Linked DNA regions of Diceros bicornis minor. The protein of the gene in region 3 purifies or fractionates together with the protein of the main gene of each other region. This does not show direct contact. Links are inferred from orthologs where the notes say so. Each region holds a gene or a part of one and is shown on either strand. Other genes may lie near its edges.

Region 1 (8,097 bases), on a different chromosome or scaffold from region 3:
CATTTAATACACATGCAGCAGTACATTCCCCCTTCCTATGGTTATTCCAAGCTGCCTGCTCCTCCAGCTGGCAATTTGATGAAAACTAGGGAAATTTGGTAATGAAATTTAAAGATATTAATCCCTTAAGAAAAAATAACAAGAAGGATCCTTGCTGCGAAAATGTTATGAACCACTGGTCTAGGAAGCATATCGTGTTTCTCCCTCCCAGAGACAAGTGCATCTCTCTTCCCTTGATTTTCTTCCTCACCTTCTGCCTGGGGCTTGGCTAAGAACCACAGGGACCCATGCGGCAAAACTAAAGGAAGTGAAACAAGCCAGCCCTGGAGCAGTCTGCGGCTTGGAACTGTCCCTATTTTCAGGTAGCCAGACTTTCTCATTCCAGATCCTCCCTCATTCCAGGTCATTTGTCCTGCCAAGGCCTGCCCACCCTGAAGTGCCCCAGGCAGGATTAAGATTTAAGTCCTCTCCAATTAAACTTCTGCTTATTAGGCTGGCTACTGATGTTCAGGAACAAGTGTCTCTGTGAAGTATGTCGGAATTTAGAAGGCACCTTCTCCATGTATTGTTTGATTCTCACAGAATTCCTGTATAACTGTCCCATGTGTGGAGGACAAAACAGTCTCAGGTTAAATATCTTGCCCAAAGTCACAGCTAGTTTTCCAAATCCAAATTTTACGTGCTTTCCATCGTGGCTGCACCTCAAAGATAACCTGTGGCGTTTTAAAACATACAGATGGTTGGTCCTTACCCCAGATCTACTAAATTGGGATCCTGGGGAATAGGACCAGGGCATCTGTACTTTAAAAAGCTGCCCAGGTGAGTCTGATACAGAACCAGAATTAGGAACTGCTGATGTAGGATGGACGGCCTTTCCACACTGGACAGACCAGTAGAGGCCTCCAGTGTTCCTCCTCAGTCACCTTCTAACAGAAAATCAAAATTCAGTTCCTTGGGGTGAGAGGTCAGACCTTGTTCGTGTCAGCACTGCCCCTTCTAGAAACTCGGTGTCTGCTGCCTAACCCGCTTCCGTCACATCAGCCCCACCGCGCAGCCCTCCCATCCCCCGTCATCTCCATGCTCCCCTCAAGCTCAGGGAATCAGGAGGGAGCTCATCCAAATCCAGTGGTGACTGGCAGAGGCTGGCATCGGGTTTACGGTGATCAGGAAGACGAGCAAGACGAATATGATCTAACAGAGCTCTTGCCAAAATCCAAGTCAGTTAATGTGTCTGAGCATTGAAACAACACAGAATCCTTACATAAATACTTACAGTTACGTGCTCTGGAGAGAGAGCAAGATAGGCTTTAACTCCTCCTGTCTTCAGAATCTGGAGGGGGAGAGGAGAGCCAAGGAGTTTGGAAAAGAAGAATCTTATGTCATATTATTCAAAAACAAAGGAGTGACTGACAAGGAGAAGTAACAGTAACTCTTTAAGGTGACATACATGGCTCTCCACATCCTGGCCCCCATCGCCCCACCAGCCTCTCCCCTTAGCTGCCTCACCCTGCTGGTTACACCCCCCACTGAACCACATACTATTTAAGGAGGCCACCAGTTTCTCACCTCCACGTCTTTATACACATATTCCCTCTGCCCAGAATACCACTCCCACCCTCACCCCCATCACTGCCTTACTTCCACAAGTATTTCTGGATTATCCACAATGCACCAAGCCATAAAGTATTAAAGTAAAAACAGTCGCCTCCCTGAGCTTAGAATCTATGAGGAAGTCTTATCAGCAAATAATAATACAACGAGACGTGGCGCACATTAAGGTCAAGAAACTACAGGATCCTAAGGGAACATATACCAGAGGCCTGACTTAGTTGAGGGGATCAGGAAGGGTCTCTGGAGGCAGTGACTTTTAACCTACATCTGAAGAATGCTACCAAAGGGAGAACGAAGCAGAAAGAGTATCCCAGAGAACAGCATTAAAGATAATGAAATAAGTTCAGTGTCGCCTGGACAGAGATGCTAGAGAATGGTGAGATAACAGGAAAGGCAGGTAAAGAAGAGACAGTGAAGGTCCTTGTACGCCTTATAGTGGGAAGCGACTGTAACGTTTAAAGCAGAGCGGCAGAATTAGAAAGACATTCCAGAAAGGTCTTTGTGAATTCGGGCCTGGGAGGGTCCTGTGCCAAGACTAAAAGCAGCAAAGAGGCTCCGGGAATAGTCCTGGTAAGACATGACCGTGGCTTGCGGTAGAGCCACCGCAGAGGGGATGGACAGAAAGATATACTAGTTGAAATAGTTCAAAGAGAAAATCTACCTGACTTGAGCGATCGACTACGAGTAAGGCAGAGGAAGGACTCAGGGAGGCCTCCTGGTTTGCGGATCCGGTAGCGGAGTGGAGGGCAGCCCCAGTTCCCAGTGGCTGCACTCCCGACCCTGAGTTAACCCCTCCCTAGGGACGCCGCCCCTCTATCTGGTGCCTCCGTATTTACTATTTAGCATACGCAGGTGTGTTATGCTGTCGTCCGTCTCCACCTCTAGGTTCTGGAGTAACGAAGGGCCAGGATGAGGCTTTATCCTAGTATTTCTCGCACCCAACAGACGCTCAACTGCAGGCAGCGAGCGGAGCGGGCGCCGACGCCCGGAGGCAGGAAAATACGCGCGTCCGGGCGGGGACGGGCAGGCCGGGATGCAGGGGGGTCCAGGGGACGTCCTGGAGACCCTGGGTGTTCTCACTCCGCCGAATCCTGGGGCCGATCCCACCTGGGCGGCCCCTCCTGGCCCCGGGGCCCGGCTCCCACTCACCACCGCGGGAGCTCCGGCTCCACGTGCGCCGCGACGCGCGTGCGCAGAGCCCTCGCTCCGCCGTCCCACCCACCCCCACCCCGCCTTCCAAATGCTCAGAGAACTTCACATTTCATCCTTCGGCGTTAGCTCACTCACGATGCAGAAAGTCAGGCCACGGCGTCGCGCGGCCCGGAAGCGACGGCGCGAGACCGGATCCCAGAAACCCTGAGTTCGGCAGCGCGGCTGGAGGCTCCCTCAAGTTCTCTACAGCGGCAGTGCGCAGGCGCAATGTCTGTCTCGCGAGACCTGACGGTTGCCACGGTAACCTGCTGCCCGCGTCTCCGCTGCGTGGTCTGGGGGCCAGTCTACCGCCCTTAATGTCCTGAAGGCCGTTTGTCACAGCTCGCAACCTCTCCTTTCTGCCTTTCTGCGCGTGGCACTCTTAGCCCTCTGTCTCTCCTCGCTTTTCTGTATTTGGCTTGCCTCAGGCCCAGTGCCCCCATTTCCATCGAATCCCTGCCGAATCCCCAGCAACAGGAGAATCAAGATAAATGAGAGATAAGGGGTGGATTGAGGGGGGAAAAACGTGCTTACAGGCAACAATGTAGGCACTCTTTAGCTCCCTGAAAGAGAAGGAGAGTAAAGCCTGCTTTCAGTTTTGCGACAGCGGTTCGGAAAGCTCCAAATGTCTGCTCCAACCACTGGAGACTTATGGTTACGGATGGAGGCCCTGGGAAGTCGCGGACCACTGTAAATCAGCTGAAGACCATTTTCAAGTTCAGCCATCTGAATCTGTTTGCCCTGGGCACGAACTTAGAGGACAGTAGGTTGCTTCTGACCTAATTTACACCTTTCGTTTTCTTTTCCAGTCTAACTTAGGCTCTCTTCCTTCTCCAAACATCTTCCTCCCTTTCTCAATCACTGCGTTGCTTGCTTTGTTTCCCCTTTTTTGGTCTAGTTTCTATATTTTCAGCTTTCAACACCTACATCCTAACTGGCCATAAAGTCAACAAAACAAAAAACCGTGTTGCTTTTTGTCCAAGATGATTGCAGGTTACCCAGGGGAAAGTTCAGTGTGGTTTTTTAAATCACAGAAAGATTAAAAATAACAAAGTTACAATGAGTTTGAGTGTAACAACAGACTTTATTTCATAAAATGAATCCCATTGGTTCATTGTGATGAACTGCAAACATGTAATTCTAAATTAGTCCTTTAAGCTGGGAGACAAATAGAGACACACATGTCTAATTGAAATGCTAGAGTAATGAGAAGGAAATGTGTATAAGTTTTTGTTCCCCTAAGGGTTTAGATTTATGGTTCCAGTTTGTATAGTTAGATTTATAGCATCATCTCAATTTACATTTGCTCTATGAAGATTACCTGCCATTACATTCCATGGCTCAGGAGCCAGGCTGCCTACGCTGAAACCCTAACTTCATCAGTAACTAGGCATGTGACCCTAAACCAAGCTAATTAACCCTCTCTAGGAGGTGATAAAAATAGGGCCTGTTGTGAGGATTAGAAGAGATAATCTGTAAGATGCTTAGCACAGTCCCTAGCACATAGAAAGTGCTTGGTAACTATAACTATGATGAATCCAGTGACACCCTGAATTAAGAATTAAGTTAATAAAAATTAACTGTAGCCTCTATGATTTTAGTGCTTGTGTTCTATTTTATGACTAGCAATATAATTTTCACAAGAATTTTGCTAAAATGTAAAACTACCTTTCAAAGGTAACTTCTCTCCCATTTGTGTCACAAAAATATTACAACAAAAAAGTCAAAAGAAAAAAATTTTCCATGACTCGATTACCCCAAAACACATTTCCTCTCAGTGTTCCCTTCTAATTTGTTTCACATTTGTGCGTACATTGACATTGTTAAAATAATAATGTAGATACAATTTTGTGTTCTGATTTTCATTCCATGTAAGATTTTTTTCCATGTTTTTCAAGCATAGTTTTCAAATTGTCACTTTAACTCTTATATATTTCATATCCTATACTGAATGATCAGTTTTACTTTGTAATGACAGCTGTTAGTTATTTTATCCTGAAAAAACTCAGCCTAACACAGCATCATCACCACCACCACCTCTCAGCCTTCCAGTGTGCTCAACTGAAACTATGGGAATGGAGGAGAAACACCGAGGTGGGAGTCTCCCACCGGATAGGAAGGCCTTGTTCCAGGAGGAATTACAGGGCATTCCACCAAGATTCAGGTCAGATTGCAGTCAAGCCTTTCCTACGTGGCTAGGTGATGTGAAAGGTTGTCAGGGGGCCTTGGCGGAGCTGTCCTATTAAAAAAGAGAAATTTGAAAGACCTTAAATCAGATGGTAACAAAGCTAGTCTGAGATTTTTTTTAGTAGACGCTTTTTTAGAGTTTTTTTTTTTTTTTTTCAGAGAAGAGGCCTAATGTGATGTGATGCTACACTTTGGATTTTCCTTAAGTCCTAAACTGCCAGCACCGATTTTGAAAATAAAGTATCTATGTGATATAAAATAGGCTGCAAGTAACTGTTCAAAATATACCAGAGGTATATATAAACAGGCCCTATAATTTTAGAATTACTTAAAGTATAGATATTTATATGAATTAATCACAGAATAATTTCTGAAGCAATTTGAGAGCCAGTGGTTGAGAAGTACTTTTAAGATAGAAATGTGTACATATGTCTGTGTATATGTATTAGGTAAAAAAAAATCAATAACATTATACTTTGTTAGTTCAATATTTATTGAGTATCTTTTATGTGCTAGATGCTAGATATGTAAGAATGAAGCAACTGTTTTTCTTTCTTCCCTCCGTCCCTCCCTTTTTTCCATCCTTCCTTCCTTCCTTCTTTCCTTGCTTCCTTCCTTTTTTCAACAGAGAACAGTGTTTACTGAATTCTAAGTGTTGAGGATAAAGCAGTGAATGAAAAAAGTTCTAATGGAGGAGACAGACAATAAACAAAAAAGTAAACTATGTAGTATGTCAGATCATGAGAAGTGCTATGGACAAAAGTAAAGCAGAGAAGAGAGCAAGGGGGTGCTGGGATGCGTGACGAAAGGCCTCACTGAGAGGTGATGTGTGAGCAAAGACCTGGAAGAGGTGAGGGACTGAGCCGTGCAGACACCCAGGGAAGAGTGTAAGGGCCCTCAGGGCAGGAGTGTGCTTAGCCTGTTAGAACAGCAAGGAGGCCCGTGTAGATGGAACCCTTTGAAGGAAGGGGAGAATGGGAGGAGAGGAGAGGAGAGAAGGCTACAGGCTTGTAGACCAGACTAAAGATGCCTCTTGTCCTAAAAAACTTCTGGAGGAGGTGCCATCTAAGCTGAGTCTTGAAAGAGGAATTGGCTGGTTAATAAGGTAGGAGAAGGGCATTCTGGACAGTGGAGCGCAGCAGCTATCTATAAACCTGGAGAACAGGGAATTTAAAGTAGTTTGGTGTTCCTGGAGGAGAGTGTGCACACTTGTGGGAAGGAGAGCAGTGAAATCATGGACCACCACACATATTATTCAGAGGCCCTTCTGAGAAAGAGAGCCAAGTTATCATTTCAGACTAGATCTCGACCCTGGCTGCATCATTCCCGCTGTTTGCTCCCTACCCCACAACCTTGAAATCAGAATCTCTGGTGGCAGGAATCAGGCATCTGGTTTGTGTTTGTGTTTTTCCTTCCAGATGATTGGATGTGCAGCCAGAGTTAAGAGCTCATCTGGACATCTTGCCAATACTACCCAAAGCAATCTAAAGATCGAATGCAATTCCTGTCAAAATTGTAATGGGTATCTTTTGCTGGAATAGAAAAACCAGCATGAAAATTATTATGGGATCTCAAGGGACCCCAAATAGCTAAAATAATCTTGAAAAGGAAAGACAAATTTGGAAGACTCACACTTCCTGATTTTAAAAACATACTATAAACCTACAGTAAGTGAAATGTTACAGAGCTGACATAAAGACAGACATATAGACCAATGAAATAGAATAGAGAGGCCTCACATATATGGTCAATTAATTTTTGAAAAAGGGGCCAAGGGCCAGCCCCAGTGGCTTAGTGGTTAAGTTCAGCGTGCTCCACTGGGTGGGGCTGGGATCAGTTCCTGGGCACCAACCTACACCACTCCTCTGGCAGCAGCCATGCTGTGGTGGCGGCTCACCCCCAAAATAGAGGAATATTCGCAACAGATGTTAGTTCAGGGTGAATCTTCTGCTGCAAAAAAAAAAGAAAGAAAGAAAGAAAAGAAAAGAGGGCCAAGACCATTGAATGGGGAAAGGACTGCCTTTTCAACAAATGGTGCTGGGAAAACTGGATATCCACATGCAAAAGAATGAAGTTGGACACTTATACAAAAAGGAACTCAAAATGGATCAAAGTTCTAAACTTAAGAGCTAAAACTATAAAACTCTCAAAAGAAAACTTAGGGGAAAATCTTCATGACACTGAATGTGGCGATGATTTCTCGGATATGATGCCAAAAGCATAAGCAACAAAACAAAGAATTGATAAATGGATCTTCATCAAAATTAAGCCTTTGGTGCATCAAAGGACGCTATAAGAGAGTAAAAACAAAACCCACAGAAGGGGAGAAAATGTTTGCAAATCATAGATCCGATTTGCAATACCACTTCACACCCACAAGGATGGCTATTATTAAAAAACAGAAAGAATAAGTGTTGGTGGGCATATTGAGAAATTGGAACCCTCCTACATTACTGGTGGGAAGGTAAATTGGTACAACTGCTGTGGGAAACACTTTGCCAATTCCTCAAAAAAAAATTAAACATAGAATTACAATATGGCCCAGCAATTCCATTCCTAGGTGTTTCCTCAAAAGAGTTGAAAACAGGGACGCAACTAATGCTTGTATGCCAGTGTTGATAGCAGCATTGTCCATAATAGCCAAAAGGTGGAAACAATTCAAATGTCCATCAATGGATGAATGGATAAAGTGTGATATATACATGCAATGGAATATCATTAAGCCATAAAAAGGAATGAAGTACTGCTACATGCTACAACATGGATGGACCTTGAAAAAGATTATGCTCAGTGAAATGAGCCAGTCACAAAAGGACAAATACTGTATGATAGTCACATTTCCATGAGGTGACTTGAACAGGCCAATTCATAGAGACGGAAAGTAGAGTAGAGGTTAGCAGAGCTGGGGGAGGAGGGGATGGGAAGTCATTGTTTAATGGGTATAGCCTTTGTTTGGGAAAACAAAACAATTTCGGAAATCGTGGTGGTGGTTACATGGCATTGTGAATGTACTTAATGCCACTGATTTGTAGAGTTAAAAGTGGTTAAAAGAGTGAACTTCCTGCTATGTACATTTGACACTCCACACGAAAAAGGACTTGTCTTTGG
Region 2 (6,720 bases), on a different chromosome or scaffold from region 3:
TGGGCAGAGAGGCTTATGAGGCTGTTATCTCTCAACAGACAGCTGTGCAGAGCTGCAGGCCACAGCTTATCAGGGATCCTGCAGTGATTCACGGCCCAAGTCCCAGCTTCTCTGCTGAATAGTAATTTCCAGCAGTGGATTTGTGCTCAGTCTCTCTCCTCCCCCTCTCCCAAGGGTGTGCTGTCCTTTCTCAGAGAAAGAGCAATGAAGGGGAGATCCTACCCATGGGTACAGAGGGCTTTGTGCCAGCCTTCTGGATAAGGATGTCTATTGGCAAGAGGCTGCAAGTTTAGGGACCCCAGCAGGGTCTGCCACCCTTGGCAGTGACCCCCAGGAGTTTATCAATGCTGGCCTTCCTTCTCCTCCGAGAAAAGCAATTTGCTGCTCCCTTTCCCTTAGTAGTAATGCACAAGGGGACAAAGGCTCCCTTCCGGTGACAAGCACCTGAGGCTAGAGCCAGCCAGGGAGCGCTGGGAGAGAGGGAGAAGACAGGGACCAGGTAATGTGTCCCTTGCAACAATTTGAAGCTGTCCAGTCTCTGTGCCTGACCCTGAATACTCCAAAGGCTAAGGATTCCAGGCTGGAGGGGACTGAGACACAAGGGGGCAGGCCAGAGCAGTGTCTGCACAAGCAAGTGGTTAGGAAAAAACATGGGGACAGAGCCATTTTTCTGTTTGTTTTATTGGAAGCAAGACTCTAGCTGTGGGGCTCAGGGGAGGAGGCATGGAGACTTGTCCTGGGTCTCTCCCTCTGGGCCAGCTTGGGGAAGGGAGGACGTTGAAAGAGCTAGAGCCCATGGAGATGCCTCCTGCCACCATGATCCTAGGATGATCCTTAAAAGCAGGGGAAGGAAAACTAGAAAAGAAACTGTGTCCTGCCGTGATGGGCAGGATAGGACCCCCCACAACTCAGACTCCCCTGCCCTCAAGCAATCAGTTTCTCACCCCTTGCCCTCTGCTGCCAACGGTGGGGGTGATTCAAGAGCTCTCCTCGGCTTCCACACTCGGAGCCCCCCACCTGAATGCTGGGGGTCCCTGAGCAAGGCTCGAGTCCCCCTGCCCACCATTCCTTCCCTGAAGAAGGTCCCAGTATGGCTCAGAAAAGCTGAAGGTGGAGTTCTGCGTCTTCAGGCAATACACAGGTGGAGGAGTAACCACCCCACGAAGCTTCCCTGGGGTCCCTCCCTTGTCGCCTTGGGGTCCACGCTGCCAGTCTGAGGAGCTGTGTTCAGTTGTGGGCTCTAGCGTACTAAGGCGTGAAAGGCTGGAGGTGCGTCTCAAAGTCGAGGCGCTGGGGGTAAGATACAGTCCATCTAGGTGGCCCAGAGCCGGGAGTTCTCAGGCCGTCCGGTCCTCTTCCGCAGCACCTGGCTCAGGTTGTGACCGCTTCGCGGAGCCTTCTCCAGCTGCGGGTTCCCCAAGGCTCCTCTTGGTCGTCGGCACCGACGGCTGGGATGAGGGGCCAGGATGGGGGTTCGGGGGCTGGTAGCCGGGTTGGCGCGGATCCAGTGCATCCTTGGAAAGTAGGATGGCGAGGCTGGGCACGTTCTTAAGTACACTGAGACTGGTAGCCGGGTCGCCAGGCTTCTGATCCGGCGTGGGCCCGGGCGGGAGGCTCTGCCACACCTCGCGCACGCTCCGGTAGCGCAGCCGCGTGACCTGGTGCAGGCCCGCCAGGCGGCGCTTGAGGATCTCGGCGCACGTGACGGTCTTGGTGGTGGCCCGACCGCAGCCGCTGAAGACGATGGCGCGCGTGGCTGGCTGCGCCATGCTGGCGGTGGCGAAGGCCAGCAGGTTCCGGATCTTGCTGCCCTCTTTGACCCGCATGTGCACGGCGCCCGGTGCCAGGTCCGCGAAAGGGCCGGAGCTCAGGCCGCCCCCTTCGGCCCCGTCCCCCACCGGCGCCTCCTCGGAGCGCACCTTACGGAAGTTCTCCATGCGCCGTCGTTGCCGGGACCGCGGGGACGCGGGTTTCGCCATGGGGCCGCCTCAGCCCCGGGGCTGCATGGCCGCCAGTCGAGTCCGGCAAGGGCCGGCAGAGGTAAGGGTGCAGGAGAGGCGTGGACGCTGGCGGGCGGGCTGGGACGGCGCGATTCTTCTCTCCCACTTCTCTCCAGTCGGCGCTGCTCTACTCCGCGCTCTCGGCGTCCGGTGCTCCGCGCCTTTAGCGGTGGCCCCGCCTGGGAGCCTGGGAGCCCCCGCCCCTACTGCCAGGCCCCGCCCCTAACTCGGCCCGGCCCGCCCCGGTCCCAGCCTCACCAGCCTCTCGGATCCAGTCAGGTCCTCAGCTAAAAGGGCGTGGGAGCGGCGCGCACGCTGGGGCGCAATGGCAGCGTCCGAGGGTGGGTTGTCAGGCGAAGTTCCCCTATAATGGCCATCAGTCGTCTCCGAGTCAACCCTCATAAACGGGCAACCTAAATAAAAACTGCGTTTGCGGTGCAAATGCCGCCACAAGTCGGGTCCCCAAGCCCTTCCGCGTTCAAATTGAAGGCTACTCCTTGTCCCCTCCCCAGGAGAGATTTCTAAGCAGCCTGCTGGGGCCTCTTTCCCCTACTCCTCAGGGGAACCCCCCCTACTCCGTCCCTTCCGCTCCCGAGCCGGTATTCTTGCCTCAAGGACAGCCTGTGCACGGTCAGCAGAGTGCGGGAGGCGCTGGCTCTGGTTCCGCTCCGCGCCTTCCCTGGGACGACTATTCGCGGTGTTGTCTTCTCGGGGCAGCCGAAGACCGAGGTTTCAGCCTCCGCGCGCCTGACCGGAGCTGGAGGCTCCCGGACCCACGTACACCCCTGGCGTGTGGGAAGTGAGGCTCTGGGTCAGGCTGTTCCCTGAGGTGAATGGGAAGAGAACAAGGAGACCCCTTCTCAAGGGGAGTTAAGCTCCCTCCACTCGTGCCTGAAAGCACACTATTAGAGCTGCATGCTTTAGGGTAAGCTAAGCATGCTTCCCTGCTAACGTGAATCCCTTCTTCCCAGGTGGAATTCGTTGTCAGTCAGCCTAGGCCTCCTGAGACCCAGTGGGGTCCTTTTTCAGAAAGAAGATTGGTGAAGGCAGGTTTTGAGGAGAATGGAGGAAGGTGGGAAGTTGAAGCTTTGGGGGCGTTATGAAGCTACTGGGTGCCCCTCTCTGGGAACTCCACTCGACAGGGAGAGTGGCCCCGAATCTCCTGCCGGGAGAGATGAACAGTGAAGAGAGAGGTGACGTTGGGATTGAAGGACTGCTGATGAGAGGCAGCGGGTTTGAAAAGGAGCTGGCTCCTCCCTAGAACTGCCCTGGGGCATCGCCCTTCATTCTTCCACCCGCCTCACGCACACGCACAGTCAGAACTGAGAGAGAGGGGCACACCTGATCCGGGTGGGGCTGACTACCACGCGGCGTAGCCGGGAGGCGTGCGGAGAGCTGCCTTGGGCATAACAGTGCCTGGGGGAGCTGGGCCCCAGTCTTGAGACCGGGCTGCTGGGGTCCCCCTCTCCATCTTCAGGCTCTCCTTGCCTCCTCAGCATCTTTTATCTTCTAGTTTTCGGGCCTTGCTGTTCAGAACCCCGGGCTGACCCCATTACTGCCCCTTGGGAGTGGCTGGAGCAGGTGGACCTTTGCGCCCCCTCTCCGATCTCTTGCACGCTGGGGTCAGGGGCCCTCAGGGTCGCGTTCCGCGCCAAACCTGGACTTCGGCTCCGCCCCAGCTCCCGCGGGCCCCACGAAGAACAGCCACAGGAGCTGGAGGCACAGCAGCCTCGAGAAGACACACAGACTGTCTGCAGCGCGTTGCGGGGCGCGCGGAACCTCAGGCTCTGTAAGACCCGGGCAGTTACGGGACGTAAAAGACGGCAGTTTCGGCGAGGCCTGAGAAAAAGTGCTCGAATGGCCGGAATGCACGTTAGAACGGGCTGGTTAGGGAATAAGCGAGCTCTCCGTCCACGGGGAGATGCAAGCCTAGGCTGAACGTTCACTTGGAGAGGATATAGGCAGCGGTCTGCAGTTTGGAGCAAAGGGCTGTGAGCTCCAGGTTAGCGTAGGCTGAGGGTGGGGTTGTTCAGCGTCCACCTGGGTTGGTCCTCAAGGCACCGCTCCCCAACCCCCCTTCAACTGCCGCCAGCGGTGGAAGACTTGGATTCACTTTGCTCCCCAGTCAGTGAAGGGAGAGCGTGGAAAAGGCCCGCACCGCCCCCCCGCCGGTCCCCTCCCCTTCCTCGCTCCCTCTGCAGCACTTAAAATGTAAATGTACATCGTGATTAGCCGCCGGGTCGCTAATTACCGCTGAAGCCATTCATTATATTGTCAGCGCGCGTTCTAGCCGGCTGGCTGTGCGCCCCTGCCGGGCCGCCGAGTGGCAGGGCTGGCGGGGGGAGGGGGGCGGAAAACTGTGAATAAGGGTAATGAGGTTGGCGGAGAGAAAGCGGAGGCAGGAGAGGGGCCAGTAGCCAGGGAAAAATGGGTGGGCGGTGAAGTAGAAACGAGGGGCGGGGCAGGGAGAAGGGAGAAATGCTGGAGGCAGCTAGGAATGGGGGCGACGGAGAGATAGTGAGGATACGGGGGGCTGGGGGCGGTGTGAGACAGGAAACCTGGATGAGCGGGGAGAAGGGAGAATACTCGGGGAGGCGGGGAGGAACCCCGGGGAAGGGGTGGACGCGGTTGGGAGGGGAGTAGAGGGCTCAACTGTGCGAAGGTGGGTAAATACATTTCAGCGTTTGTGGTGAACACCCCCCGACAGTTAGAAACGTGGAAAGGCAGTCAAGATTTTCTGTTAAAAGAGCCGGATGCCAGCTATACACACAGTAGGACCACAGGTATTTTTTTAAAGGGGTGTGTGTCTATTTCCGTGTGTGCGTGTTAGTAGAGGTAAAGGTCTTTTTTCATAGCTGCAAGAAAACAGCACACTGCCTCTGTTACCTCTGAGGCCGCATCCAGTGTTTTTGGGCCTCTTGAAGAAAAGAACTACTAAATATGAATCCAAAATTAAGCACAGAGTCGTGGAGCAGCCTGTGTACGTGAGGTACTGACGTTGAAGCCCGAGCTTCATTAGCTTCTTTTTGCCTCTATGTGACCTTGGGCAATTTACTTAAACCCCCTGCCTTGGTTTTCTCAGCTGTAAGATGGGGCTAACATCAGAACCTACCTCATAAAGTGGTTGTGAGACATTTATAAGTCTTAGAACCTCGGCTGGTAAGTTCTCAGGAAATGTTAGCTAATATTATTTTTCATATATTATTTGTGATTAAAATACATTTTAAAAATTTATTTAAAATATAATATATAATTTATTTATTTATTTATTTTCCCCCAAAGCCCCAGTAGATAGCTGTATGTCACAGCTGCACATCCCTCCAGCCGCTGCATGTGGGACACGGCCTATGAGGCCAGAGAAGCGGTGCGTGGGCGCTTGCCGGGGATCCCAACCTGGGCCACCAGCAGCGGAGCGCGCGCACTTAACCGCCAAGCCACGGAGCCAGCCCTACAATATAATATAAAATAAAGGGAGGTGAGGGGGAAAGAAAGCTGATGAGCCCCGCCCCCGTGGCTTATGCGCGCGCTCCACTACTGGCAGCCTGGGTTCGGATCCCAGGCGCACCCCGACGCACCGCTTCTCCGGCCATGCTGAGGCCGCGTCCCACATACAGCAACTAGAAGGATGTGCAGCTATGACATACAACTATCTACTGGGGCTTTGGGGGAAAACAAAAGAGGAGGATTGGCAATAGATGTTAGCTCAGAGGGGGTCTTCCTCAGCAAAAAAGAGGAGGATTGGCATGGATGTTAGCTCAGGGCTGATCTTCCTCACACACACACAAAAAAAGCTGATGAAAAGGAAAGGAAATAGGCAAAGCCTTGGAAATAGCAGTTTTCCTAATATGTTAGGGACTAGCGAGGGGCAAATTAGACTCTCTTCACTGTCAGAGGAGGTGGTGGAGTGGCTAGGCTGGAGCCCCAGCCTCACCTGGTGCAGCATCAGCTCCTGCTCTGCAAATGGACCCTTCCAGAAGTACATCCCGCCTCTCGCGTCTCGTGGACAGGTCTCTCACCCCAAGACTGGGAGAAAAATCCTAGCACAGGGCAGATCTCCTCCTCCTCCAGCTCCTGGGGCTTTAGGGAGCTCCTAAAGACCCAGGTCCTGTCCCAGCCTCTCTGGGAGGGGCTTGGGAGCATGCAAAAGAGTCAGGCCGGAAAGTCAGAGGGGGCCAGAGGGAGCTCAGATTTATCGGGCACCAACCAGTGCCCAGCAGAGGGCCAGGTACTCTCACAGATCTATTCTCTGATTTAATCTTCACAATTTTCCTTTCCATCATTGTTTGACAGATATGGAAACTGGGGCACAGAGCGGTTAAGTAACCTGCCCAGTGTACCACAGCTAGAAAGCAGCAACCACAGATATTTGAATGCAGGTGCTCTGACTCATTTTACTACCTCACCTGAGTATAAGAGAAAAAGAAACTTTTAAATGATTTGAGCTGCCCAGTAAAGGTAGGAGTTGGTTTGGGGTAGAGAGGGGGTTCTTCCCTACAGTGAGGAAGATGTATTAGTTATCGATTGCTGCATAAAAAATTAGCCCAAAACGCAGCAGCTTAAAACAAAAACATTCATTATCTCACACCGTTTCTGAGGGCTAGAGATCCAAGAGCAGCTTACAGGGGTGGTTCTAGCTCGAGGCCTTTCCTGAGGCTGCAATCAGGATGTTGGCTGGGTCCGGAGGACCAGCTCCCAAGCTTGCTCACATGTTGGTCAGAGA
Region 3 (7,436 bases):
ACCACAGGGACAGGAAGGGATGGAGCCTCACTGATGAGGACTGACGTGGCCACTGAGAAGACGGAGAACGATGCAAAGTCCAGCCTGGACCTGCAGCCATTCTCCAGCTGGCAACCTCCACGCCCCAGCTCTTCAGATGCCTGAGGCCCCTGTGGCTCTCAGGACCTGGGGCACACAGAACCTTTCCTGACTCCTCTAGCACCAGGTACAGGGGCTGCAGGGAGACCAGGAACAGTCCCCAGGGTGCCCTCCACTTGACAAGCAAGACACAGGGCCCCAGAGACGCCTCGGGTCTTGTGGGAGATAAATATTTGTCTATCAGATGACCAAAGAGGGTGTGTGGTCTCAGCGGTTAAGTTTGAACATGCAGGCATCAGCCATCATAGGGGATACTGGAAGTACTTTTCAGCTCTAGAATTTCCATGTCTCTGCTGAAATCCTTCATCATTTCACCCATTTTGTCCCTCTTTTTCTCTAAATTACTTGATGTATTTATAATAGTATTTTAAACGCCTTCTCTTCCAAGTCAAACATCTGGGTCATCTATGGCTCTGTTCCAGTGACCGTTCTTTTCTCTGGATTATGGGTCACAGTTCCTGCTTCTTTGCATGTCATATACACCATGTTTTAAGCTGGATGTTGTGTATTAACGAAGAGAAGAGACTGGGGAAGACTAAAGGGTATATCCATCTCCCAACAAGGGCACCCCTTTTTCTGTCAGGCAGCATGCTGAGGGCCTGACCTCTTCACTGAATCAGATTTCTCAAGTTTTGGCTCCCCTGTCTTCAAATATCTTGAAGGGGAGCCCCGGCCCCCACCTCCAGCAGGGCTTTGGGGTTCAAACCACAAACCAGGTCTCTGCTTTCCAGCCCTGTCCCAATTCCAGTTTGGGGTGATTCTACATCAGCTCCTTCTCCCTCCCACTTTCCCATATTTTGGACCAGAATGGGCTCACACATACCTAAACACACAGCTCTTAGGCCTGGAGCCAACGGCTGCTTCCGCGAAGTTGAATGCAGGCCCAAACAGGAGAGGGGAAGCATGAGCTGCCTGCACCCGTGCCCATGCAGCCTGCAGGGACTTCCCTGCAAACCCGGAGTGCCTCAGAAATTTCCCCATCCACCCAGTGAAGAAGTCTCTTAGGACCCCACAGTCTCCTGTGCCTTCAGACACTCTGTCATGGAAACCAAAACCAAGCTCTCTTCAATGGCTTCCGCTTAGAGGGGAACTTCTTCAAGCATCTGGAAGAATCTACTTTGGCTGTACTTTAGACGTCTGCCATCAAGGCAGCCTTGAAGAGTGACTTCTGGAGGCTGAAGTGTTACTGCACAAAATTGGGGTTCTCTGCCCGATGTGCATAAACCAATTAATTATGGCATTAGTCTTTGGGGGAGAAATCAGCTTTTATTCTGTGCGATCAATCTGCAGGGGGACAGGGGACATGTACCCTCAGATCTGTCTCCCCGATTCAGGACTTGGGGCAAAATTTAAGAGGTTAGGGAGAAAAGGCTGGCAGGCAGAAATGCTGGTGGGACAGGTTTTGATTGGTGGTGCTTCAAGCATTTATGGTAAGGTTTTAAACATTTATGACAGGGTGGGGAAGGAATTTTAACACCGGATCTCCTGAATGAGGGACCCCTCGCTTCTGATAAGAGTCCGACTTTCAAGTTCTGGTCGAGTCCCGGTCCTTGGGTTCCATGGGGAAGAGGATCTTTAGTTCCGAGGTCATTTCAGGTTACAATTCCCTTTTTCGCATGCTCTGGCTATGTGACTTTGCAGTTTTTCTGAAAGACAATTCTTTCCTTTTTTTGTGTGAGGAAGATCAGCCCTGAGCTAACATCTGCCAGTCCTCCTCTTTTTGCTGAGGAAGATCAGCCCTGTGCTAACATCCATGCCAATCCTCCTCTTTTTGCTGAGGAAGACTGGCCCTGAGCTAACATCCGTGCCCATCTTCCTCCACTTTATGTGGGATGCCGCCACAGCATGGCCTGACAAGCGGTGCATTGGTGTGCGCCCGGGATCCGAACCCGGGCCGCCAGCAGTGGAGTGCACGCACTTAACCGCTACGCCACAGGGCCGGCCCCTGAAAGACAATCCTTAATCACTCTGTTGATAAGAGATGGGGTGAGTCAAACCGGTCCTGGAGGGCCTGTGGTTACAAAGGGACTGAGAAACCTGGAGTTCAGAAACTGGTATACGGCCACACATGCCAAGAGTTATAGTCCCCGGTGTTTGGAATTCCAAATGGTGGGTCTTAAATTGACTTAGAGCACAGTGCTGCCTCTTGACCAAAAGGCAGTGACATGTTGTCCTGCTGTGAGCACAAGTCCTTTGATGCTTGTAGCCAGAGCACCCACTGACGGAGCAGGAGAGGGCTTGCCTGGCGGGAACAGCCAACATTAGCACTGGCACCTCACTGCTTGCCTCTTCACTTAGAGTGGGCAGTTTCCTGTGGCACTAGTAAGCCTGAGGAATGACTGCTGGGGCCACTGTGTCCAGGTCCCCCCACCACCACTCCCAGCTCCCCTTGTCAGTACACGTCTGGACCAGCGTACAGATCAAGGGCAAATCAAGGCCAGGGAAATTCATAATCTTGAGCCTCAGGAGCTGTCCCGGCTTTGTGAGGATGCAGACAATGATGGCCATCATCTCTCACACGGTACTGCCTGGGCCAGGCCCTGTTTTAACATGGGCATCGTCGCACTGCAAGCTCCAAATCCCCCTGGGAAGCAGGTACTGTTGTTAACCCCGTGTTCCAGATAAGGCTTTCCTGTTGTAGAAAAGCAGCACACGCCCCATCCCTCTCAAACACACCAGATTTAATCACTTAAAAGAAACAGAAAAAATTCTATATATATATATACATACATATATACACACAGTATGTGTTTGTGTGTATGTATATGTGTGTATATACATATATATGTATATATATGATATATAAAATAATATACTGACTTTTTTAACATGGGAAGATTACAACTTTCACTGAAAACACAGCCTTCCATGTTCTTATTGCAGGTATGCTGGTATTTCTTCAGGATCACCACCTTTTCTTATATTTACAGGAAATCTACTAGAAATAATGTTTTTCCTTAATCCAAAAGTGGAGGAAAAGGGGTGCAGAAAAAATACTTTTCCACTGTATTGTCAGAGGCTAGTAGATAAACGGTTTCTGTAGATTTAGTTGTGTTTATTTATAAAGAGGGTCCTAATTTTCATAGATATGCACTTATTTAATAGTTGAGGCTTAATCTTTTTGAGCTTATAGATGAAACTTCCCTTGAATGCTCCACCTGGCAGCCTGAATGTCTCAAAGCAGCAATCAAAAGAAACCTGTACAAACAGAGCAAAATGGTAACTGTGCTACCTAGGAGCAGACAAGTGCTCACTGTGGAACTCATTCCATTTTTCTGTACAGCTGAAGTTTTCCACAAGTTGTTGGGGGGTGAAGGGACTCATCTGCAACGACGCCATCCAACCGTGACTTCCCATGGAACTTTCACAAAGTCACTACGGGGAAAACACATACATATCCACGTGTCAAAGCTTGTCATTTACAGCTATAAAAAACAAAAATATTTTTAAGAAAGTCTTGCTTTCACTGAATAAAATTTAGAAAATAGACAAAGAAAAAAAACTCATCTTTCCAATCCTTTTTGTGTATCTATTTGGTTTTGTTAACATCTTGTAACCTTTAAAAAATTGTACGTAATTTGTTTAATGGCTACATGGTATTCCATTATGCAAGTTATATAAATGTACCATACTATAGTTCTCAAACCTGATTACTCAACAAAATTACCTGGGAACATTTTTTAAAAATACAGATTCTTGGTACTTACCTACTAAATAAGAATCTCCAGGGATGATGCCAAGGAATTTGAACTTTTGAAGTTTACCCTGTGATTGTAATGCATTTAATTAACCTAATTAATTAGCACATACTTCATTTATTTAATCCACCATTATCAAAGATGGAGTCGTTTCCAATTTTTTGCTATTATCAACAACAATCACAATAACACTGCTACCTACAAGGACTGGTATCTCTCTGCATACATAGACAATTATTATGAGGATAATAAAGTGGTTTATTTGCTTTTTAAAAAGATTTTTATAATCAGGGAACTATGAAGTAACCGCAGCTCTGGGAGTGCCCGCCCACCGCCCCACACACAATCAGGGAATTCCTGGGAAGACTGGCAGTCATCCGGGCCCCGCGGCTACTTGAGAAGAGGTCAATGGGAGTTAAAGGTCCTAACAACCCAAGAAAAGCTCTCAGACAGAGGTCTGCCTTCTCCCTTATCTCCAGAATCACGCAAGTCCTGCTCAGAAGGGCCCGAGTCCACCGCACTGAGTTTGGCTCCTCCTGTCTCCTGCCGCCTTGTTCAAGTTCACATTTAGCAGTTCACACGGTACGGACCTCCAGTCCCACGGACTCCTAACTATTCTCCAGCACCCGGGCCCTTCTGAGAGGTCTGCTCCCGGCCTTCCAGCCACTTCTCGGCCCCTTCCCCAAAGCAATGAGAACCAATCCCTGCCTTTTATCTTATTGACAGAAACTAACATTCTGGGTCTCAAGAAAGCTTTCAGAGACCATCAAGTCCAATCCCACTCAGAGTACATGCGAGAAGTGGGGCCCAGAGATGGGAAGGGCCTTAGAACTCCGACTCGGGATCCCACAGACCTCGCTCCCAGCACCGTCACCACCATCCCGGCCCCTTTCCGCCCTCCCCTGGTCCCCGACCTCCCTCGTGTCTCTCCAACTCGGCTCCCCTCGCTCTACTCCAGGCCTTCACGAGCATTCCAAAGGCCCTAACCCAACCCAGCCCTCGGCTTCCGGCCTTCCCCCGCCTACGAAACACGCAGGCTGAAGCAGCCGCACAGATCAGAGACACGACGAGAACCAGCCGTGCCCCTCCGGCCGGCGGAGTCCGCTCCGGGCGCATGCGCAGCCTGAGCCGGCGCGCGTCGGTGACGTCACGGGCGGCGCCATTTACGAGCCCCGAGCGCCTGGGAGCTCAGCTGCAGGTCGGAGCGCGTCGGTCTGTCGGCTGAGCGTACCGCGCGGCCTTGGGCGCCAGGAACCTCTCCACCACAGACTGGCGAGAGAGGCTCTGGTAGTCGAGGGTGCGGAAGAAAGCGGAGCGTGGCAGAGTGAGCGGCTCCTGAAGGAGACGTCATCAGAGCGCACCGGAAGCGGCCCGAGAATGACGAGTAAGCCGGGTTGAGGGCCACGAAATTGTGGAGGGGCGGGATGTAAAGGGTCGGGGACTCGGTGCTGGCGGGGGGAAAGGGTCTCTGCGGAGTCCGAACGGACTGCTGTGGGAGTTGTCCCTCTTTGCGTAAGTGAGACTGAGCCCAGAGTCCCGTTTGGCCTGGCGCAGTCTCTGAGCCGGGGATGGTTGTCTGGGCTCCATGGAGGCTTCTCTCGGGGGCTGCTCAGCGGTGTGTGGTGCTGGAGGAGGGCCCGAGGCCTGGGCCGAACCCTCCCTGGGTGCCGTGGTCGAGGCCCCGCTCCTCTCTCCACCTGGTTCCCCTTCTGTGAGGTGCTGATAGTGGGGCCTGCGCAGCCCGCTGTTCGTAAACGGCCCTTGTCTGGTGTGAAGCGCCGGGAGCCTGCTGGGGAATGACATCGCCAACCCAAGGCTTTGGGGGAAGAGATGTGCGAGGAGGGGAGCGAGCACCCGGGGCAGTTACAGGCAGAGGAGTGCAGACATCGTTAACATGGGGCTTTGGATCAGGATTTTGAGTTCCACGTCTGCTGCTCCCTCCTATGTGATCAGCTGTTCCAGCGTATCTGAACTTTAATTTTCTCATGTGTGTTATAGGAATAATCACTACTTTGAAAGATTGTTCAGAAAGTATAATGAGATGAAATATGTGTAGCTTTTAATCAGGTGCATGGTAAAGAATGAGTGCTCAATAACCATTAGATGTGTATTGTTACAGAAAAGGCTGGAAGTCTGCCTAATACTAGGCAGCTGTGGCAGGTGAAGCAAAGTCATTCCTGGGGTTCCAGGCCCTGCAAGTTGCTCTCTGCGAACAGGTTTTCATCCCCATCTTCCGTTTGAGGGAGAACCAGACTCTGTGTTTAAAATTTGTGACCACTTTGGTTTGCTTGTTCAGATGTACTCAAGGAAGCACAAGGCAACTGGGATGGAATTGATAAAGTATAGTATGAACCAAATTTCTAGTCTTTTGGCCCCTAAATGCCTTTGTCTCATTCTTATTCTATTCACACTCGTGCTTTGTCCCCAATGCCACGGTTTTCTTCTTCAGACAAATTAAATAAGAAACAGGAGTGTGGAAGTTTTTAAGGTTGAAACCACATTGATCAATATGTATTTTGAGTTTGAAGAATGACATACTGTATTTTATCAGTTTAGGACACCATCAGTTGTATGATACATCCCAATCTCATAGATATTACAGTGTGAAAGTTCTTTTTTAGACATCCTATAGTCAACAAAATGTAATATTTCTAACCATCTGCATCCCGGAAAGCTGTATCACATAACTTTTAAATGAGTTACATCTTTAGACTTACAGAGCAACTGCTCAAGTTCCTCACCTGTGGTTATTGAAACCAGTGCAGCTCCACATGTGGTCCATGACCTGCAGTAGCATCTGAGAGCTTGTTAGAAACGCAGGATCTGGGAGTGGGCCCGACTGCATTCTAATGAGATCCCAGAGTCGTACACACATGGACGTTTGAGAAGCACTGTTTTAAAGCACACCCTTGGAACTTCTAGGAGGGTAAGATGAGAAGCTTCTAAGAAACCTTTGACGCTGTGCTCTTTGTACCACCCCCTCATCTCCTGTCTCTGAATAAGGATAATTATCTTCATAGTTAGAAGAGTCTTGGGCCTTATAGCCATACCCGACAGGACCTGATCATTTTGTGTTTTTTAATCCCCCAGGTGTGATCTACCATGCCTTTTCTCAGAAAGAGGCACAAGAGTTGGATGTTCAGGTACAGTGCTTGGCAGGAGGTGTGGGAGCAACAGAGGTGGTGATGGAGATGGCTCGATGGCTTTGAAGCCCTTAGTGCTGCTTCTGATGTCCTTTGCCATGTCTGGCATCTGATCGTTCCTGTAGATGTGCTGGGCCGGGTCAGGCCCGTCGTTCTCATGGCCTGTTCCGTGTGCTGGCCTCCTTTCCCCTTGTGCCATGTCAGGTTCCGTTAACTGGGGCTTCTTGATCTGTGTCATCTCCCACTGCATAGGGGACACCAGCCTGTGTCCCGATACCTGCCTTGGTAAGCACCGTCACTGTGCCCCCTTCACTCTTGAAGGGGGCAGGCAGATCACATCTCATAAGTGGAATTTGGGTTATATCTGGATGCTGCAAATGGCCGTTGTCAGTTTGGCAGCAGCTCCACCGCTGACTCATAAGGAGAGATTACCTCGAAACCAAGATTTTGAAAGACG
Region 4 (7,503 bases), on a different chromosome or scaffold from region 3:
GAGAAATTAAGACAAGAAAAAAAATCACGCCTGCAAACAGTTAGTGGATTATTTTCACATGATAACAAACCTTCAGGTCACTGCTCCAGCTCACTCAATAAACCTACAGGCTGCCCAGGCTAAGCTGGAGGACAGGGAGGGCCAAGCGCAGCTGGTTCAATCCCCTGCCCAGGGTCTATTTGTGCAAGCCGACTACCATCAAGCAGAAAATGGACTCGGGATGGAGCAGGGACCTTTGGGGATGCTGGCAGAGGCACAAAGTAGAAGTGTACACACCGAGAGGCAGAGTTCCAGGTTAAGATTCACAATGTGCCAGGAATTTGTGTGAAGTTAAGACAGCTACTCAATCTCTCCCAGCCTCAATTTCCTCACCTGTAAAATGGGGATCATAGGCCTATTTCATAGAGTTGTTGCAAGGGTTAAATTGGGTAAGATATGTAAAAGTGCCTGCTACAGCCAGCGTCCACACAACTAATGAAGTAGTGCCAAACTTCAAAGTAGATGAAAGGAATAATGTCGATGAGACCGAAGGCAAGTCACCCAGCTTCATCAGCAGCCCCAGTCGCACCAAAACAAGAGGAGCCACAAGTAACTAGGATTCTTCACAGCTCCACTGGAGAGGAAGAACACGGGGCCTCAAGATAAGTAAGTGGCTATTGCACAGTGACTTATACAGTGAGGGTGGAATCCATAGAGACGCTGTGAAATACAGTTTCAAACAAATGGCTCCTAGGAAAAAACTGGGACAAACCAATCAACCCACTGGATATGACTGGGAATAGGGTAAGCAGAGGAAGGTGAGAGTCACAAACTCTAAGGAAAGACACGGAACCACAATGAACACCCAGTTCTGTGAACTGCTGCTATGGCTGCACCAAGAGAGCAACCTTTTGAGACAGCTGTTGTGCAGACTGCCAGGAGCACAAGGGTGCTTGCAGCCACACACCCAACAGCAGTGCGTCTGAACACACAGATCAAAAGGCTTTCCTCTCCATGAATCCAGATGAGAGATGCTCCCATGTTACAACATCCCCATGCAATGTTTGCGGGCAAGTATAACCAGAAACCACCACCTGATGAGAGCACATGAAAGAATGGGATGAGAATACTGAGGGGTGGGGGAGTGAGGTGCGCACCTGACCACACAGCCCATCTCCACAGGCCCTATTTAAAACAGGAGAAGAACCCTAGTATTGCGATGTGATCTACCTATACCTCCTCCCCTTGCACGGTCACAGACACTACACGGTTTTTCTTACCTTTCTTTACAAAAGTATTGATGAATCCGTGAGTAATGAACTCATGAAGAGGTAAATTCTTCACAAAGTAATATGGTCCCGTTTCCATAACAAGGTTTTTCAGCTCTTTTGCTAGGATCCCACATTCAGGAATCAGAAACGAAACCTATTGGAATGTGTAATATAAACGTCTTATTTTCATGTAGATCAACTCCCAAGTTTTGAGGGATGAGATAACATCATGAAGGCTGCTAACTATTCCTCCACAGGTTTCAACAAAACTCTTAAATTTACCAAATCTCAGGAAAAGAGAAATTTGACAATTTAAGTTTTTCATTTGTATATTCAAAAGCACAGTACAGGAAAGGTGAATGAGCAAAACAAGTTCAATAGAAAGCTCTGGCTTGCATTTCATCTTTCTCAAGCGAGCAGTATGTTTTATGTCCTGTTCCTTTCACTACTACAATTAATTTTTAGGGCAATACAGTATAACTGAATACCTCCAGGTTTGTTTATCCTGGTACGAGGCTGGAATCAAAGGAACTGTCCCTTAGGGCATAAGGAATTTAGGGACATCAATTAGCAAGAGGTTCCATGGAAGCAGAAGTGCTGCTGGATGTTCCTATTTTCCAGACAGAAAAACTCTACAGAGCACGCTGGAAGAGACAAGCTGCACTTCCCCGAGGGCTGTCTGTGACGAGCTTTCCACCCAAAGCAGAGAGGTCCACCCGACAGGTTTCAAATGTCGCCCCAGTGCTCCACACCTTGAACGTCGCCCTCCCAAAGCCCGAACACCAGCCTGCTCCTGAGGATCAGGGTCTCTACAGTGTCTGAGAAACTGGCCCGTTAGGCCTCAGTTGAGATTAGGCTCATCAACGGAGAGTGTAAAAGGCTTAAGCCATTATCATCTCAAGGTTGCTTTTTCGGAGGCCTCGCCACTTAAATGGGTTGGTGAAACCGGCCCAGTAGACGCCTGACTGGGAAAACCGGCCGTTCTCCTCAAGTCGGCACATCCTGGATAAACCAATAATTAACCTCATGCATGCCTTGACTTCCGCACCCGGGAAAAAGGCACCCCGCGAGGATGACATTTCACGAAGCAAAAGCCAAAGTTGCTCTAAAGTGGTGCTTGCGAGTGGGGCCACCTCGGCGAATCTGCGCTAAAAGCTGCCGAAATGCTGCACTTTGGCTGGAGAACGCAAAAGGCGGCAGCCAAGGTGGGAATTTTCTCAGATATCAAACCAGTTCCCAAAAGCAGTTTAGAAAAGCAAGTAGCTTGCTGGACCGGAACTCGGCACGATGCTCCGGAAAGATCTACAGGCCTGCGGGTGGAACACGGAATCCAGCGGCGGGGAAGGGGCGAGAGTCTGCCCTCAAATCGGGGCGGGGCGGCCCGCGCACTCGCCTAACTCCCTAGACCCAGCCTTGCCTTCCCGTCCCACCCCCGGCCGCCACCACCTGGGGCGGGGCGGCACCACAATAAGTAGCCAGAGGCACTGCGGACCCAGCCAGGCGCACATCGCCCTGCCCCTCCCTCCGACGGCTGGACACCGCCCTGCGCCCGGCGCATCCTGGGAGTCGTAGTCCTGCAGCTCTGCGAGCCACTGCCCCGAAGCGGCCAAGAGCATACGGCTCCCAGCATGCCCGGCGAGGACCCCCACCCCCCACCCCACCCCCCCGCTTCGCACGCCGAGGGCGGGAGGACCACGGGGAGCAGAGCACGGCTGTCCCCAAGCCTCTCCCGCCAGCGGGGATGGAGCACGGTCCGGCGGACCCAGGGCGGCTGCACTCACCCTGTAATTGTGATAGTGTGTCTCCACAACGTGCCGATGGCGCGACTTATCGTGGCCGAAGTTGGATTTCTCGCAGACCAGCAGGTGCCGTGGCACCTCTCGCAGCCTGCGCAGCGTGGCCATGCTTTTCCCCGCGAACGCCCGCCCCAACCTCGGCGTGCCCCACCCCTTTTCCTGGCCCTCCCCCACGTCCCACTCCGCGGGCATGCGCAGGGCGGGCAGGCTTCGCTTGTTGAGCCCCCCCACCGCCCGCCCCCTTTTTGGGGGTGGGGCTAGGCTTCATAGGGACCCGTGCCAAAGCTCACTGTTGGGTACGTGAAACCGTGCGTGTAAGTTCACTGCCTAAATATTCGGTACTTGGGGACCTGGAACTTGCCTGTTCGAAGCCACTTTCCTCGCCATGCCCTCCATCCGTCCCAGCTGCTGTCTCTTGCCATTAATCCTCCCTCTGGGCCCCCTTTGGTCCTTCCTAAAATGTAAAAGAAGTTTCTGTAGGACGGTAATAACAGTTTCTGCTTTTTGGCCTATAATAGGACTCCTTCAGACTCCTTCGGAATCACTTTTAAGATCCCTTTTGAACTGCTTTTAATAATTTGTTGCTACTGGGTGTTATGGTGATAATTCATTTTTCCATTTAATTTTTCTTATCAACTCTGGCTACTACATTATTACAGGATTCTCAAACTGGAGTATGCCCAGCCCCAGTTCTGTGCAGAGAGGATGAAAAACAGCAGAATATTTGTGGTACAACCTTCTGGAGCATTAATTTTACTGTAAGGTTTTGAAGAATAGAAGTTAAGTAGTTTACAAGGTAAGTAGTTCAAAATTTAAAACTAAGGCAGGCTGGAGAGTGGTCTGCTGTTAATGTCAATCACCTGTGCCTGAAATGTCAGCCTGTCTCCAAGAATGCTCTAAGGAAAACCTATTTCCTTTTCTTTAAGCAGGAAAAATTATAGGGACTAGCAAGTCAGTCGAAAACCTCTACCTGTTTCCTAAATCACAGTATGGCACCTAGATATAAGCTACAAATATCATCTCAGGATGTAAAATGCTTTTTAATACGTAGCTTCTTGGTCACCTCACAATTAAGTAGTGGTGGCCTCTCTCAGACAAGCAACGTCAGATAGATACATCTCCTTTGTTGATACTCCAAAGCTTTTCGAAGTGACTAGGGTGATTCTGATGGTCTACCAATTGTATTTGGAAGCAACATGAAGCTTTTCTAGCAAGCCATTTTGTTTAAAATGTTTTATTAAGTTTTGAAGATTTAATAGAAATTTTATATGTATAAACAGCTGAAAAATGTGTTGAGAGATAAATAGCTGCAATGCAGTTTGAGTATTCAAAACTCAAAGGTGTTCTTCCAGGGCATTACTTAAGGATGTGTCCTGTGAGTGAGCCTGTATTATGAAATAGAAGGCAAAAATCTCATTTATTTTAAAGATTAAAGCTGTAACTTCAAGTAGATTTGAGGCTGAGGAGGCCTTTCAGCCTGCCTCTTCCGAGCTCTGGAGTTCTGTGTCTGTAATGATCCCTTGCCAACGTCATTCATTTCTCCCCGCTGCTGGGTCATTTCTGTCAGCAGACAAACATGGCCTAATGTTGTGCATTAAACAGACACCCTCCTCTGACCCCAGATGCCTCTGCATTCACCATTCTGTTTCTCTGCTCCATTAGAGCTCTCCTCACGTTCTCTCCTGAACCCGTTCGTTCTAGCTTTCCTAGACCCTACTTCACTGAAATGGCTTTTATCAAGGTCACTGGTGAGTTCCATTTTGCCAGATTCAAGGCCAAGTTTTTGTTCTTATCTCACTCAGACTTTTAGCTGCATGTGACAAGATGATACAGTTGACCACTTCTTCCTTGTATTAACTGTATTTTCTTATTTTTTCTATTCTTATTTTCTGATGCTCTGGCATTTGGAGCCTTGCTGACCAGCCTTGCTGGCTGCCCCTTACAGAGTTAGCCCATTCCTAGAGATAGCGAACAACTAGTGCTGTAAGTATACCTTTCACTTGCAGACTAACCGATCCACACCCCACCACACCTCTTCTGTGGGCTGTTACCCTCCAGGCTACTACCCCTTGCCCTGATCACCCCAGGGCCAGGTACCAGACAACTGGGGACAGTCCCTACACTCCAGAGCACGCTGAAATTATTCAAACTAGCCAACCCTGAACCTGCTTAGTCTGTTTTCCCTGCCTCGCCCATTCCTTCCCACAGTAAAGGCTCTGTCGGATGCTTTCCCTCACGCCCTCTGCCTCCTCACGGACCCCAGTGCTTCCCCAAGTGGTTCTGTGTGGCCTGCCGTGCCTCCTGATTCTAGGGAACTGTGAGTAAAAACTTCTTCCTTTATGACAGTCGTTTCCCTGTCTGTGTGTCATACCATACCTGATTAGAACAAATTCCTGGGTACGTTTCAAAACGCTCCTCTTGAAACGCTTTCCTCCGGATTTTCGAGACCCTGTCTCTCCCGGGTTCCCTCCCACCTCACTCTGCCTTCCTCCTCCTGGGCCTCCTCCTCCAGACCTCTGGTAATCTTCAGCCCCTTTTCCTTCCTGTCTGCCCTCTGATCTCAAGGTGATCCCACACAGTCTCCCAGTTTTCAGTCCCGTCTACCTGTTGGTCACCCCCAGGACTGGTCCTCTTCCCTGGGGGAGCACCAGGGAGTCATGCTTGACTCTTGCTCCCTTCTCACCCCACATGCAAATCTGTGGCTTGTTGGCTCTGCCTGGTTGCAGCCTCTTCTCACTGTCTCCATTCTACAGCCAGTTCAGCCACCTTCCTCTCTTTCTGGTGCACTGCCAAAAACAGCCTCCTGACCGTCTCCCCGCTGCCTGTCTGGCCTTCTACGGTCCATTCCGCACTCAGCATCTGCAGTGATCTCTTAAAAACATGACAAACGTGATATATGCCACCCTCCCCAGTTTCTACCCTGCTGCTGCTTCTCCTTGCTGTCAAGTAAAAGCTTAGGTAACCTAGCCCCTGCCTCCCTCTGCAGCCTCATCTGCCCTTGCTTGTTCAGACTATTGTGTGTCAGATTTTTTGGTTTCTAGAGCTGAAAGTCATCTTGACTGACAAACAGATATTAGATCATAGACTCTATATCATAGAGCATAGAGAAAAAAGTCTGTGAGAGAATGAAAGGTCAGAAATGGCTAAAAAAGAAAAAAAGCACAGGAAACAAAACATAATTGATTTATATATATATATGTATATATATATACCCCAAAGAATAATGAATTTTTTTAGAAAACAAGCCAACAGACTTGCAAAGAAGTAAATGTACCTTTGTATTCTTAAAATACAAAAATATACTTAGTAAATCTAAAAGGACAAAAATTTTACACATGATGTTTTGGGGCTACAATGGAATAAAATTAAAAATGACAGAAACAGAATGTAAAGATGCTCAACTCCTTGAAGATGTTAAAATATTCTTTTAAACAAATTAATGCTTGAGTCAGGTCTAAATCTAAAACACAGTCACAGTGCCTGTAAAATATATGTGCTTGCAATGTCGTATCTAGCTGTATGCCGTGTTGGGGAAAGGAGAGAGCTCTCCAACGCAGAAGCTCTGGAGTGATCAGGTGATGTTCATCGGGACCCTTTCACTGCTCTGAAGCCATTTAACAACGTCTCATTATAATTAGGAGCAGCAGTGAAGGCAGTGCAGACACTGGTAATAAATCGGAAACCTCCCTCCTGCCGAGCCTGACCTTGACTTCGCAGTCCTTTCCAGCACAGGGCTCCCCGAGGCACCACAGACGGGCCGGTGTTGGCGAACAAGGTCAAAACTGCCCTCCAGTTGCAGGCAGACTGGAAACTGGATGCTGCAGCTGCAGTGGAAAACACTGGGGGCCCCAAGAAGAATACAGGATCCACACCATGAGAGGACTGGAATCCCAGAAGTTCTCCTGGTGCGGGCTCAGAGCCAGACTACTCATTTCCTCCCTCTGACTGGTGGGAAATCAGTGAAGCACACAAACATGTTAAAAGTAGCAACTGTGTGGGCTGTGTCGATACGTGGAGGTGTACAAATTGGGGAGTATTTTAAAAGCAGAACACTACACAATATTATATGTCAATTATATCTCAATGAGGCTGGAAAAACAGAACAGTCACACAGTCTGATTAAAGCTCTTGTCATGTATGTTCATAAACAAGTTTGGAAGAGAATTTGGGAAGGGGTAAAATTTTTTATAAGTCTCATTCTTTTAGTTTGCTTAACTTAACATATGTTTAGAAGTAAATTGGCACATAAAGAATTTAAATCCTAGCTATCCAGAAACTTCAATTATGTAGAATGAAGCATTTCTGTGTAACTCGGATTTTACTATAGTTTGAAAACTATTAATCCACAATGCAGTTGAGGAAATAAGATACATTCACAGAGAAAGGAGAAATCGCCGTAATATGTATTGATTACTAGTAATTGTATAGTACTGTTGTGTGTAACGTTACATGTGTAA

The links.
Region 1: the proteins of POP4 (region 3) and RPP38 purify together in Homo sapiens (affinity purification with mass spectrometry; 4 studies listed by BioGRID and IntAct, counting the BioPlex papers as one, with this or other methods). This does not show direct contact. The link is inferred for Diceros bicornis minor from reciprocal best matches to the Homo sapiens genes POP4 and RPP38.
Region 2: the proteins of POP4 (region 3) and RPP25 purify together in Homo sapiens (affinity purification with mass spectrometry; 3 studies listed by BioGRID and IntAct, counting the BioPlex papers as one, with this or other methods). This does not show direct contact. The link is inferred for Diceros bicornis minor from reciprocal best matches to the Homo sapiens genes POP4 and RPP25.
Region 4: the proteins of POP4 (region 3) and RPP40 purify together in Homo sapiens (affinity purification with mass spectrometry; 3 studies listed by BioGRID and IntAct, counting the BioPlex papers as one, with this or other methods). This does not show direct contact. The link is inferred for Diceros bicornis minor from reciprocal best matches to the Homo sapiens genes POP4 and RPP40.

Annotation. Positions count from the first base shown.
Region 1 is NC_080775.1:15,572,466-15,580,562, reverse strand, and holds the start of RPP38 (ribonuclease P protein subunit p38), read right to left. Parts: upstream 3,002-8,097; 5' UTR 2,899-3,001; intron 2,762-2,898; exon of another isoform or gene 2,460-2,761; intron 1,331-2,459; 5' UTR 1,274-1,330; intron 1-1,273. UniProt on the Homo sapiens protein: Component of ribonuclease P, a ribonucleoprotein complex that generates mature tRNA molecules by cleaving their 5'-ends. Also a component of the MRP ribonuclease complex, which cleaves pre-rRNA sequences.
Region 2 is NC_080744.1:67,855,522-67,862,241, forward strand, and holds RPP25 (ribonuclease P protein subunit p25), read right to left. Parts: upstream 2,163-6,720; 5' UTR 1,980-2,162; coding exon 1,338-1,979; 3' UTR 663-1,337; downstream 1-662. UniProt on the Homo sapiens protein: Component of ribonuclease P, a ribonucleoprotein complex that generates mature tRNA molecules by cleaving their 5'-ends. Also a component of the MRP ribonuclease complex, which cleaves pre-rRNA sequences.
Region 3 is NC_080773.1:3,833,016-3,840,451, forward strand, and holds the start of POP4 (ribonuclease P protein subunit p29), read left to right. Parts: upstream 1-4,265; 5' UTR 4,266-4,418; exon of another isoform or gene 4,419-4,794; 5' UTR 4,795-5,213; coding exon 5,214-5,220; intron 5,221-5,303; exon of another isoform or gene 5,304-6,762; intron 6,763-6,926; coding exon 6,927-6,979; intron 6,980-7,436. UniProt on the Homo sapiens protein: Component of ribonuclease P, a ribonucleoprotein complex that generates mature tRNA molecules by cleaving their 5'-ends.
Region 4 is NC_080753.1:61,268,007-61,275,509, reverse strand, and holds the start of RPP40 (ribonuclease P protein subunit p40), read right to left. Parts: upstream 3,162-7,503; 5' UTR 3,155-3,161; coding exon 3,032-3,154; intron 1,405-3,031; coding exon 1,260-1,404; intron 1-1,259. UniProt on the Homo sapiens protein: Component of ribonuclease P, a ribonucleoprotein complex that generates mature tRNA molecules by cleaving their 5'-ends. Also a component of the MRP ribonuclease complex, which cleaves pre-rRNA sequences.